3 linked regions of the Ovis aries genome follow. The protein of the gene in region 1 interacts with the protein of each later gene in a pairwise test. Links are inferred from orthologs where the notes say so. Each region holds a gene or a part of one and is shown in the gene's direction. Other genes may lie near its edges.

Region 1 (3,518 bases):
AATTTAGATTCTTTCTGAATCCTCCTGCATACTATTAATCCTGCTCTGTCCTATTTTGCATTCTTGTTAGTTCTCCCGAATGACAGGTGGGGTTGTATGTCTTTGCAGGAAGAGAAGGAGAAGGTGCAAGCACAGAAGGAGGAAGTTCTTAGCCACATGAATGACGTGCTAGAGAATGAGCTCCAGTGTATTATTTGCTCAGAATACTTCGTTGAGGTAATGATGAGTAGTGGCTCACGCCTTCTCACTCTCCTACCCCTGAATGGAGCCTCAGCTACACAGACTGCTTTTGCTCTAGGGTAACATTCTGAAGAGATTTTTCCTCCAGGAACTTACTGTAGCTATTTGACTTCAAAGTGGCTGCTGGAGGTGGCCACTTCTCACTTGCCTCCGCTGGCTTTTTTCTTACTTCATTTGTTCTTGAGTTCTTTTTTTGGCAGAATCAGTGTTTGGGGCTATAATAAAGCCTTTATCTTTTTGTTGTTGAGGGAAAAACACTTTGGTTTTGAAGAACCATCTAGGGGCTGCCCCACCCTCCCACAGGTCAGAATGTCATATGTTTCCTACATTGCCGACAACTATGAGCTGTTGGGTTTTGTGGGTTTTGCGGGGTTTTTTTTTTTGCCTAGTGTTGAGCTCCTGAAGGTTTTTTTTTTTTTTTTAACTCCTGGGATCCATTTGATTCTGGCAGAATCCAGAATTAGATGGCATTAGAAATTTGAAGTATCAGAATAAAGCTACTCAATAAAGCTAGTCTTTCTTTGCTCTGAATGGACACAGTGCTGAGAGTGGGCGTGCAGTGCAGCCTTTGAACAAGGGGGTAAATGTCATTGAGGTATGCTCACGGGATTCAGTGGCCAAATGGAGCATTTTTCAGGGACTCGGAGGCTCCTTATGAAAATGAAACATCACGCCTAGGATTTCATTTGTTATCCTGTCTTCTTTTTGCATAAACTCTCTTATTTTCGCAAATTCTACCACTTGTGTCCAGTTCATCTTACACAACAAGTGTTAGACTAAAGTTGTTAAATGATAGTGCTTTTCAGACTCATTTAAAAAGAAAACGCATACACACACAGCTTCCTTTTTTTCTGGTGGCCTTTAGGGAGATTGGGTCTATTAGCCTCCTGAAAAATCTGTCCTGGATAGACCTGTTTCTTTTGCTTTGGATCTGCTTTGACTTCAGATCATAATTTCCCCCATAGTTTGTAGTCATTTGATTCCCTACTTTGGAGAAACTCAGTTAGTACTGTTTCGACATGACTTATGCACCGTAATAGAAGACGACAAGGAAAGGGGTCGGAATAAGTGATGAGTTAGCCAACATGGAGCGTCTGCACAACATGTAAGAGACAAATAACCTGATCTTTGTTTGGTTTACAGCATGTGCTGACCTTCCCTGCTGGTCCTCTTTTAAAATCAGTGTTGGGTTAGAGATTTCATTTTAGTCAGCAGGTTTTTAGTCCTGTTTATGAGAATTTTGTCTCATTCTTTATTTTTACTTTTTCTTTTTTTAGTATGTCTCATTCTTTACTGAGAATGTTTCCTAGTTGGCCTTCTGGCTTCCACTTGGCATTTGGAAAATAATACAAAGTTTGTGTTATTTCCCCCTGCTTTCCCAAAAGCAAGAAAGAAAACTTTTTAGCTCCAGAAAAAGTTGTATCTTAGGAGATACAAGAGAAACAAGAGAAACGAAGAGTATGGTTTATGTTTTGAAAAGTGATAAGGACCTTGGCAGAAAGCTGACCATTGGGGTTGCTCAGGAGCACCTCAGATACGGGCCCTTTTCTGCTTTCTCTCTTCTCATAGGCTTATTGATATTACTTAAGGCACTGTCAGCTGAACCCATTACATTTTTTCCTATTTTGTTTTTAGATTCTTTTTCCCTAGCCTAAGTGCTTTTACGTATACTTTTTAAAGCTTCTTTTGAGTAGAGATAAGGGCCTCCTAACATTCTGTGTACTGAGTATTCACTGTGTGAGTTAAAATCGAGGTTTTACTGTACCATTAGGACATACAGCTGTTTCTCCTGAGAGAATTAGTGATGCATGTGTATCAGACATGCGCATGTTTTCTAGTCCTGCTTAAGTCCAGTGGCATTTATTTGCGGGATAGCTAAGCCACGTTGGCAGTGTGAATTGAGTTGGTGGAACAAAATAAGACAAATCAGCCTACCTGGAGCCTGAGTTTATGAGCTTAACTTTGAGAGAGAAAACAAATAATCTAACATGAAACTTAAAATTTACAGTTCCTAGGAATGATTCTGATACCCTTTGTAAGGCCTCTAGATGAAGTTATGGTTTAATTTCTATTTCGTCTTGAGAACTAACTGCTTTCCTAACTCTGAGATCACAGCGGCCCTGGGGCAGTGAGCGTCACAGTTCTGATGTGTGTGTTCATATTTCCGTTATAGGCTGTCACCTTGAACTGTGCCCATAGTTTCTGCTCCTACTGTATCAATGAGTGGATGAAGAGGAAAGTAGAATGCCCCATTTGTCGGAAGGACATCAAGTCCAAAACCCGCTCCCTGGTTCTGGACAATTGCATTAGTAAGATGGTAGACAATCTGAACTCAGAAGCGAAAGAACGACGAATTGTCCTCATCAGGGAACGAAAAGGTGAGTGAGTATGGAAAGAGGTGAGTCCCCTCAACAGACTTTTTTGGATCCAGAAGAGTCAGGTAAACGGTTCTTGAGCTTAAGAAGGAGGTGGAAGTAATGGGGGAAAGTAAAGGAAGCTAAAGGTAATAGACATGTAAGGAACAGTTGAGGCAGAATGGAATATTTGAGCAGCAGGGAATGGGGAGGCTTAGGTGTTTGTGTCTTAGTTAAGGGATAAGAAAAGATGGGATTAGAAAAACACAGGGGTGGACAACTTACAGTGTTAGTCACTAGATGGGGCTGTCGTTCAAGACAGTTTAGTTGCTGTCTGTTGCTCTCGGTAGGTTGCAGAAATCTTGGGTTGGGTACACAATAAATTATAAATTATAAATAGGATGTGTACAAGTCAAAGATTCACAGCTTGGAAAATGCCAAAACATATGAAGAAAACATATATAGGTTCTATCTGTAAGAGTCACAGCTTAACTACACAAATCGGGCATAACATTAAGCCAAAAAGAGATTAATTTAATCCTACTATGTTAACTTCACTAGGACTAGTTTGACTCAGTTGTGTCAGACTCTTTGTGACCCCATGGACTGTAGCCCACCAGGCTCCTCCCTCCATAGGATTCTCCGGGCAAGAATACTGGAGTGGGTTGCCATTTCCTTCTCCAGGGGATCTTCCCGACCCAGGGACCGAACCCGGGTCTCCCGCATTGCAGGCAGATGCTTTAACCTCTGAGCCACCAGGGAAGCACATTAACTTTGGGTGTCCTAATAAACAAGTTTCCCAGAGAGAGTTTGAATAAAGAGATTAGGGAAGTGAGGGTGGGTGAGTTTCCTCAAGGAACCATACTTCCATAGAGAGTATCTCCTCCTCTAACACAAGTGATCTCATCACACCTGGGGCCTGCT
Region 2 (3,918 bases), on another chromosome or scaffold:
AGAATCCCAGGGATGGGGGAGCCTGGTGGGCTGCCATCTATGGGGTCGCACAGTCGGACACGACTGAAGCGACTTAGCAGCAGCAGGTCTCATAGCAGCCTCATTACTCTCCTTTCATTTAGAATTTGAAGATCCTTAGGTGGGCTGCCATCTATGGGGTCGCACAGAGTCGGACACGACTGAAGCGACTTAGCAGCAGCAGCAGCAGGGTTATTTTCATGTAAACTATGTTAACCCAGAAAGGTACCCTTGAATTTCTGAAGTCTTTCAGAAATGCAGATCTTTCCATTTTTTCCCCCTAATACATTTATCATATTTATTTATTTATGGCTGAGCTGGGTCTTTGTTTCTGAGCGAGGGCTTTCTCTAGTTGCAGCAAGGGGGGGCTACTCTCTAGCTGCAGCGTGTGGGTTTGTTTCGGAGCACAGGCTCAAAGCACGCGAGCTTCAGTAGTTGCAGCGTGTGGGCTCAGTGACTGGGGCTCGCAGGCTCTAGGGCACGGGCTCAGTAGTTGTGGCACGGGGGCTTAGGGGTCCCACAGCATGTAGGACCATGCTTCAGCATCCTGGAGCAGGGGTCGAACCTGCGTCCCTGCACTGGCAGGTGGATCCTCAAACCACTGGACCACTAGGGAAGCCCTGTTATTTTCCATATAGGATTCCAGGTGGCTTTAACTGCTAAAGCATTCTTCCTATTAAGCTGAAATCTGTCTTCCTGTCACTTCTAAGTGTAGTCTAATGGTCATCTGTCCCGCCAGTCTCCTGACCGTCATACAGCCGTGCGTGTTCTTCCCGTGGATGTTTTCCAAGATTAATACGTTCCTGTTCATGTAACTCAACCTCCCATCTCCTTCTCAGGGAACGCTGATCTCAGACAAGAAGTTGGTTTACTTTGGTTTAAGCAGTAAGAATCATCAGGGAGCTAAAGGACCAGCGGTTGTCTGGGCCATCTTACCCATTTTACAGAGAAAAAATGACTATGAGAGGAAGTAACTACAGACTCGGTGAGAAGAGTTGCATAGGTCTGTCAGCAGAGGCAGGACTAGAACCCAAGTCCCTTCCCTCTCTCACCCAGGGTCCTTCTTTATGGGCAAGTTACTGGCAGCATGTACTCTTCCCTTTATTACAAAGGTAAAAATATAGGGGCATCTCAATTCTGTCATAGATGGTCCTTTGTAAGTTAAGAGGAAACTGCTGCCCTCCTCCCACTGAGGGGTGTGTATATTTGGATGGATCTTCCAAAAGGGGAAATTTAGTTGCGCCTGATTCATCCCTCTGGTCCTCAAGCTCTCTTGAAGCTGGCTTCCTTACTCTCTTCTTTCCCTCAGCCCCTGTAAAATGGCAGGAGAGAGGCTGATGAACAGGCATGGGTTCAAATCATGATTTTACTGTTTCCCCATATGTGACGTTGGACCCGTCTTAATCTTTTGGAATCTTAGTTTCTCCATCTACAAAAAGGGAAATAAACACAATGGAATGTACTGTAGCTGCGAAATAATGAAGCTCTTTATACACTGATACGACACAATTGCTTCTCAGGTGGGTCAGTGGCAAAGAATCCACCTGCCAGTGTGGGAGATGCAGGAGATGTGGGTTCAATCCCTGGGTCGGGGAGATCCCCTGGAGGAGGAAATGGCAACCCACTCCAGTATTCTTGCCTGGAAAGTTCCATGGACAGAGGAGCCTGGTGGGCTACAGCCCATGGAGTCTCAAGGAGTCGGACACAACTGAGCAACTGAGCGCACACACACACACACACACACACACACACAATGACATAATCTCCAAGATGCATTAAATGGGGGGAAAAAGTCAATGTGCAGAATAGTCTCTATAGTATGCTCAGTTCAGTCGCTCAGTCATGTCTGACTCTGCGATCCCATGGAATAGTATGCTCCCAAACCTCAAAAAAAAAAAAAAAAAAAAGAGGCAGGGGAGGAAAACATAAGTTTTCTTGCTTATATACACAGAAAGCTTCACGACATACGAGAAGCCATAATAATGGATGATGTCTGGGGTGGGAGTAGAATAGAGGTGAGGAGGTGAAGAAGAGAACAGAGTATCTGGGAATCAGTGGAGGAAAACGTTTTACTACATTCACTGGTGCCTTTGAATTCTGAACCGTGTAAATGTATATTGCCTACTCAAAACTTTTTAATTCGAATTTGAGAAGTATACAAAGAGGCAGGTGAATAATATGCACGCTTCATAGAGATGTGAGGTCTAAATTAAATAGTGCCCCTAAAGTAATTAGTACCGTGCCCGGCACATACGTCAGTGCGTGAACACTGGTTGTTTTTAGAGGTATCAGTTGTGCCAGCCAACCCCCATCTGCCTCCCTCACTTCCCACTCTCCCTATCATCAACCTGTTAGCTGATGCACTCCCCTCAAGGAAAGCTCGACCTTTTCTTGCCTCCCAGGCTCATATACTGGCTGACCTTCGCTGTGGGCCGCTCCTTCCGAGGCTTTGGCTACGGCCTGACGTTCCTGCCTCTGCTGTCCATGCTGATGTGGAACTTCTACTACATGTTCGTGGTGGAGCCTGAACGCATGCTCACTGCCTCCGAGAGCCGCCTGGACTACCCTGACCATGCCCGCTCAGCCTCAGACTACAGGCCCCGCTCCCGGGGCTGAGCTGCCCCACCCCCTTCGTTCCTGGGTGGGATGAACCCACCTACTGCCCCGACAGGGGTGCCATCCAATCAGAGTGTGGGGTGCTCCCTTCATCTTAGGAGCCTGGGACAATTATGTGGGAGGGACTTAAACAGTCTTTCAGGGAAAGAGGTGGACAGCCATGTTCCTTAAGAATGCTGAGGACATGGGACCAGGGGCAGAGGCATGGTTCCTTCCTTAGTAGCCTCTGCTGCCACCAGGGTCCACAAAGACTGGACTCTGCTGCCCACTCTGCAGCCTCCTGCTTGAGGCAGCTGGCAGAGCACAGCCGAAACTCTGACCTTTTCTGTGCTGGCTGTCTAAGCAGAGGGCCTCCAAGAGACTGGAAACATTGCCTATGTCTTAGGTAAAGGCTGGGCATCACATCAAATAGGACTTTCCTGTTTGGTGAAAACCCTTCTGGGGACCTGGGTTCAGGACCCTCCATGACTGGCCTTCCTAGGCCCTTTAGCCTCAGCCAAGTCAGTTACAGCTGCTCCAGCCCAGAGTGGCTGACTCCTCTCTTCCAACCCTTTAGGTCCCTGTAACTTTGCACCTCCAAAGTGCCCAGTCATCTCTCTCCTGTGGGAAGAGGAGCAGACAGGGAAACCTGCTTCCTAAGAGGTGTGTGTGTGTGTGTGTATGTGCGTGCATGCCCACACGCACATGGCTGGGAGTGGTTGGAAAGCATGGTGGTTGATGTTAAACCCGTCTGAATGTGTATATAATAATAAATGATTAATACCACAGTCTTTCTTGGCTCTTCCGTAGGGTTTGCCCCTCAACCTCAAGTGTCCCTTCCTTGTTTGATTCAAACTGCACCAGAAACCTCCCAGCTCCACATATTGAAGAGTGGCTGGCAGGAGCCTGGTCCCATGGCAAGGGAGAGAACTAAGCCTGATGAGGAAATGGGGCTTCAAAAAGAACTTGCCTTCCACGCCCCACCTCCAGCCCTCTCATTCCCTGGAACCAGGTCCAAACCTGCCCAACAATGCACCACATTGAGAGACAAGCCCTGTGGAAAAAAAAAAAAAAACTATTCTATTTCATGCCTTCCAGTGCAGCAAACAGTCAGAAGGCCTCTCTCATTTAGGCCTGTGAGTCCCATTCAAGGGAAATGGGATGGTGGAGGAACAGGGAGGCAACACGGAGGGGACCCTCCCTCTGGCAATCATTCTGTGTCTGGTCCCTCCTCAGAGTTGGAAGGAAGCCCCACCTGGGTCCCCCAGGAAGTTGAGGCTGATCCGAGGTTCTACCGAACAGGAA
Region 3 (3,518 bases), on another chromosome or scaffold:
GTGAGATCTTTCTCCAGTTTTGGATTCATTTTGTTGCAATAGTATGAGTTTAATGGCCAGCAAATTAATGCTAAAAACCTGGAATGGTGTTAGTGCTGCTGGAAGTTCGGAGAAGGCAATGGCATCCCACTCCAGTACTCTTGCCTGGAAAATCCCGTGGGTGGAGGAGCCTGGTAGGCTGCAGTCCGTGGGGTTGCTAAGAATCGGACACAACTGAGTGACTTCACTTTCACTTTTCACTTGCATGCATTGGAGAAGGACATAGCAACCCACTCCAGTGTTCTTGCCTGGAGAATCCCAGGGATGGGGGAGCCTGGTGGGCTGCCGTCTGTGGGGTTGCACAGTCGGACACAACTGAAGTGACGCAGCAGCAGCAGCAGCAGCTGGAAGTTTAGTTTCCTGTAGCTCTCAGTGGGTAGAGAATCCCTTCTTAAATTGAGGGAAAAGAAGGATAACCATAACTGAGAAAGAAAGAGGAATAATTACTATGTTGTTTGGAAGGAAATGATGCTCATGACTAGGAGGAATCCAAGTGACTGAAACCCAGATTTTCTTTGATCCCTAATGATATGATGTCTAAAATATGGGGGAGAGGGTTTATCAAAGTGCTACCACTTTGAAGCATTTGACCATCTCTTTCAGCTATTTCCGAAAGGATAGTGGCCCCAGACTTTGAAAATGTGTTTGTTTTTAGTAAAATAATGACTCTGCCTTTTATGGACTAAAATGGGAGGTCAGAAGGTAAGTTGTTGAGAGGGAGGATTTTACAAAATCTCTTACACAAGATTTAACTCCTTGTTTGTATCTGAACTTAAAGACTGAACAGAAACAAGACAGGGGCTATGGAGTCAACATGGCTTCTAACGGGCTCCCGCTGTTACTGTATGTTCTGTAGTGATATTTGAGATAGCACAGGAGATCCCAGGTAAGCATCTGGGAATGGACGCCGTGTCGAGAAGTACCTGCTAGCCTTGAAATGCTAGCAGTAATTATGAAAAACTCAGGGTTTTCGTCTAGGAAATTTTTTTGTCTAGTTTCTAATTTAAGGAAAGGTTTTGTTTTTTTGTTTTTTTTTTTTAATTAACCTAGTGGCCAAGACTTAACTAAATCTCTACCTTGAAATTCAAAGATTAATTTTGTCAAAAATGTACTTTCTCCTGAACTCTGTGTTCTTAAAATCTAGAGGTATATATCATCTGGTTTTGAGAATTTAATTTATACTGTCATTCTACCTGTTGCTATGAATTGTAATTTCAGTTCAGTCACTCAGTCATGTCCAACTCTTTGCGACCCCATAGACTGCAGCACACCAGGCTTCCCTGTCCATCACCAACTCCCAGAGCTTGCTCAACCTCATGTCCATTAAGTCGGTGATGCCATCCAACCATTTCATCCTCTGTCGTCCCCTTCTCCTCTTGCTTTCAGTCTTTTCACAGCATCAGGGTCTTTTCAAATGAGTCAGTTCTTTGCATCAGGTGGCCAAAGTATTGGAGTTTACAACAAATTACAAATAAATTACAAAGAATTATAATTTAGTGAAATTAATTTGTTTTCCCCTAAGAATCACTAAAGGAATAGAGTGTACTAACGAAAACAGTAATGGCTCAAACAAATTTCAAATCTTATAACTTATCTTCTGTAACAAATTTCCTTGCATTTAAAAAAGTTTGGTTTAAAGGAAAATCTTTGGTCCTTTGGTAACTAGTCAACTTTTTTTGTTAGTCTTATCTTCTCTTTCTCTGTTCCAGGGTAACCAGGAGCCAACAACAACTCCTGACGCAATGGTTCAGCCTTTTACTACCATCCCGTTTCCACCACCTCCACAGAATGGAATTCCCACAGAGTATGGAGTGCCACACACTCAGGACTATGCCGGCCAGACCAGTGAGCATAACCTGACACTGTACGGAAGCACGCAAGCCCACGGGGAGCAGAGCAGCAACTCACCCAGCACACAGAACGGATCTCTGACGGTACGTGAGTGATGAGGCAGCAAAATAGAAGGAGGCCTGTCATCGTCCTTTTGAAATCTTCTTAATCATCATACCCAAAAACCCTTTGAATTAATTTTGCATGTACCTTACATTGCATAACGCTAATGTAGTTTCCATTCTACTCCAAGCGCTGTAATTAGAAGATAAGGGTCTAGAATAAAGCTCACAGTCAATGCCCAGCAGCTTACAGTCTAGACATGGGACAGACAGTAAAACAAGGTAAATGTGATGATGAGAGTTAACTTAGCAAGATGCTGCTCTTTTCAGCTTTACGGGTAACCTTCATTCTGCAAAAATCTCACGGTCCTTCTCTGTCCTCATTGTCCACAATCTGTCAGCAGTATTCTACACATTGCCTCCTCCATCCTCCTTGAAACACTTGAGTTGTTGGCTTTCATGACGCTCCCTGTTTCCCTCTTAGGCACTGAAAGTCCTTCCTTGGTCTTTCTTGCTGGTTTGTCTTTGTCTGTTGAGCTTTTAAATGTAGTTACTCCAGAGCTGGGTCCTAGGACTCCTTTCCCTCCTGTTTTTTATCTTGTCTCTGTTGCATACTGATACTACTAAATCACCTAGTTGCTCAAGCGAAACCTATGAATGGTTTTTTCTCTGTCTCCATCATCTCTGCATCCAATCCATTAGCAAGTCGTGGTCACCGTGACTCTAGAACATTTTCTCACTTCAGCCTCTTCTCTTCATCTTACGACCATAGCTGGATAGTGTCCATAATTAAGAGCTCAGCATTTCCACCAGATTTTTTAGGTCTGAATCCTAATATCTTCTCTAATTAGTAGTATGCCCTTTGGCCAGTTATTTAATCTCTCTCTGCCTTGGCATGTTCATCTGCAAGATGAAGACAGTAGCACCTATTTCAAGTGGCTTTTAGGAGACTTAAAAGAATTTAATTCATGTGAGGTGTTCATCATCATTGTCACCACTCTAATCCAAACCTTTTCACTTTTTCTGTTACTGTTGCCTAATTTATCACATAGCAGCCAAGATCCTTTTCCTCTTAATGCAAATAATGCTATTTCCCTGTTTGATTCTAATGGTTTTCTAACATACTTAGAATAAAATCCAAACTCGTACTTGGTTTACTAATCCCTGGCCCCAGCCTCCCTCTTTGACTTTACCTGTTACTACTAATTTAGTAAGCGAGTAAAGGAAGCATCATAAATTACAGTAGGTATGTTATCACATCATACAGGAAATCATTTTGTTTGTGGAATTGTGTGGTATATTTCCTAAGATAAAAATGTCCAGTACTCTGCATAGAAAGATCTCTCTCTAGTTTTTAGCTTTCTTTTTGCCTTTCTGTATCAGATTATCAGGAGGAGAGCTTAACTCAATCTGTAAATCACTTGATAAGATTTACTTCCCTGTAAAGAGCCTTCAAAAAGTGGGCATGGTAGTAACAAATGAGGCTTTCTATAGCGTCCATTCTAGAATTAAAACACACAGGCTGCTGTATTGGCTGCGTTTCCAAATCACGTACAAATGATGAGGAACTTACAGATTTAACAGAAG

The links. The genes of interacting proteins can lie anywhere in the genome.
Region 2: the proteins of RNF8 (region 1) and TMEM79 interact in binary tests that used the Homo sapiens proteins (3 or more experiments, as listed by UniProt). The two-hybrid records come from large-scale screens. The link is inferred for Ovis aries from reciprocal best matches to the Homo sapiens genes RNF8 and TMEM79.
Region 3: the proteins of RNF8 (region 1) and RBFOX2 interact in binary tests that used the Homo sapiens proteins (3 or more experiments, as listed by UniProt). The two-hybrid records come from large-scale screens. The link is inferred for Ovis aries from reciprocal best matches to the Homo sapiens genes RNF8 and RBFOX2.

The regions. Positions count from the first base shown.
Region 1 is NC_056073.1:11,332,331-11,335,848, forward strand, and holds part of RNF8 (E3 ubiquitin-protein ligase RNF8), read left to right. Parts: intron 1-108; coding exon 109-216; intron 217-2,413; coding exon 2,414-2,618; intron 2,619-3,518. UniProt on the Homo sapiens protein: E3 ubiquitin-protein ligase that plays a key role in DNA damage signaling via 2 distinct roles: by mediating the 'Lys-63'-linked ubiquitination of histones H2A and H2AX and promoting the recruitment of DNA repair proteins at double-strand breaks (DSBs) sites, and by catalyzing 'Lys-48'-linked ubiquitination to remove target proteins from DNA damage sites.
Region 2 is NC_056054.1:106,292,461-106,296,378, forward strand, and holds the end of TMEM79 (transmembrane protein 79), read left to right. Parts: intron 1-1,487; exon of another isoform or gene 1,488-2,420; coding exon 2,421-2,634; 3' UTR 2,635-3,404; downstream 3,405-3,918.
Region 3 is NC_056056.1:179,577,522-179,581,039, reverse strand, and holds part of RBFOX2 (RNA binding protein fox-1 homolog 2), read left to right. Parts: intron 1-1,748; coding exon 1,749-1,973; intron 1,974-3,518. UniProt on the Homo sapiens protein: RNA-binding protein that regulates alternative splicing events by binding to 5'-UGCAUGU-3' elements. Prevents binding of U2AF2 to the 3'-splice site.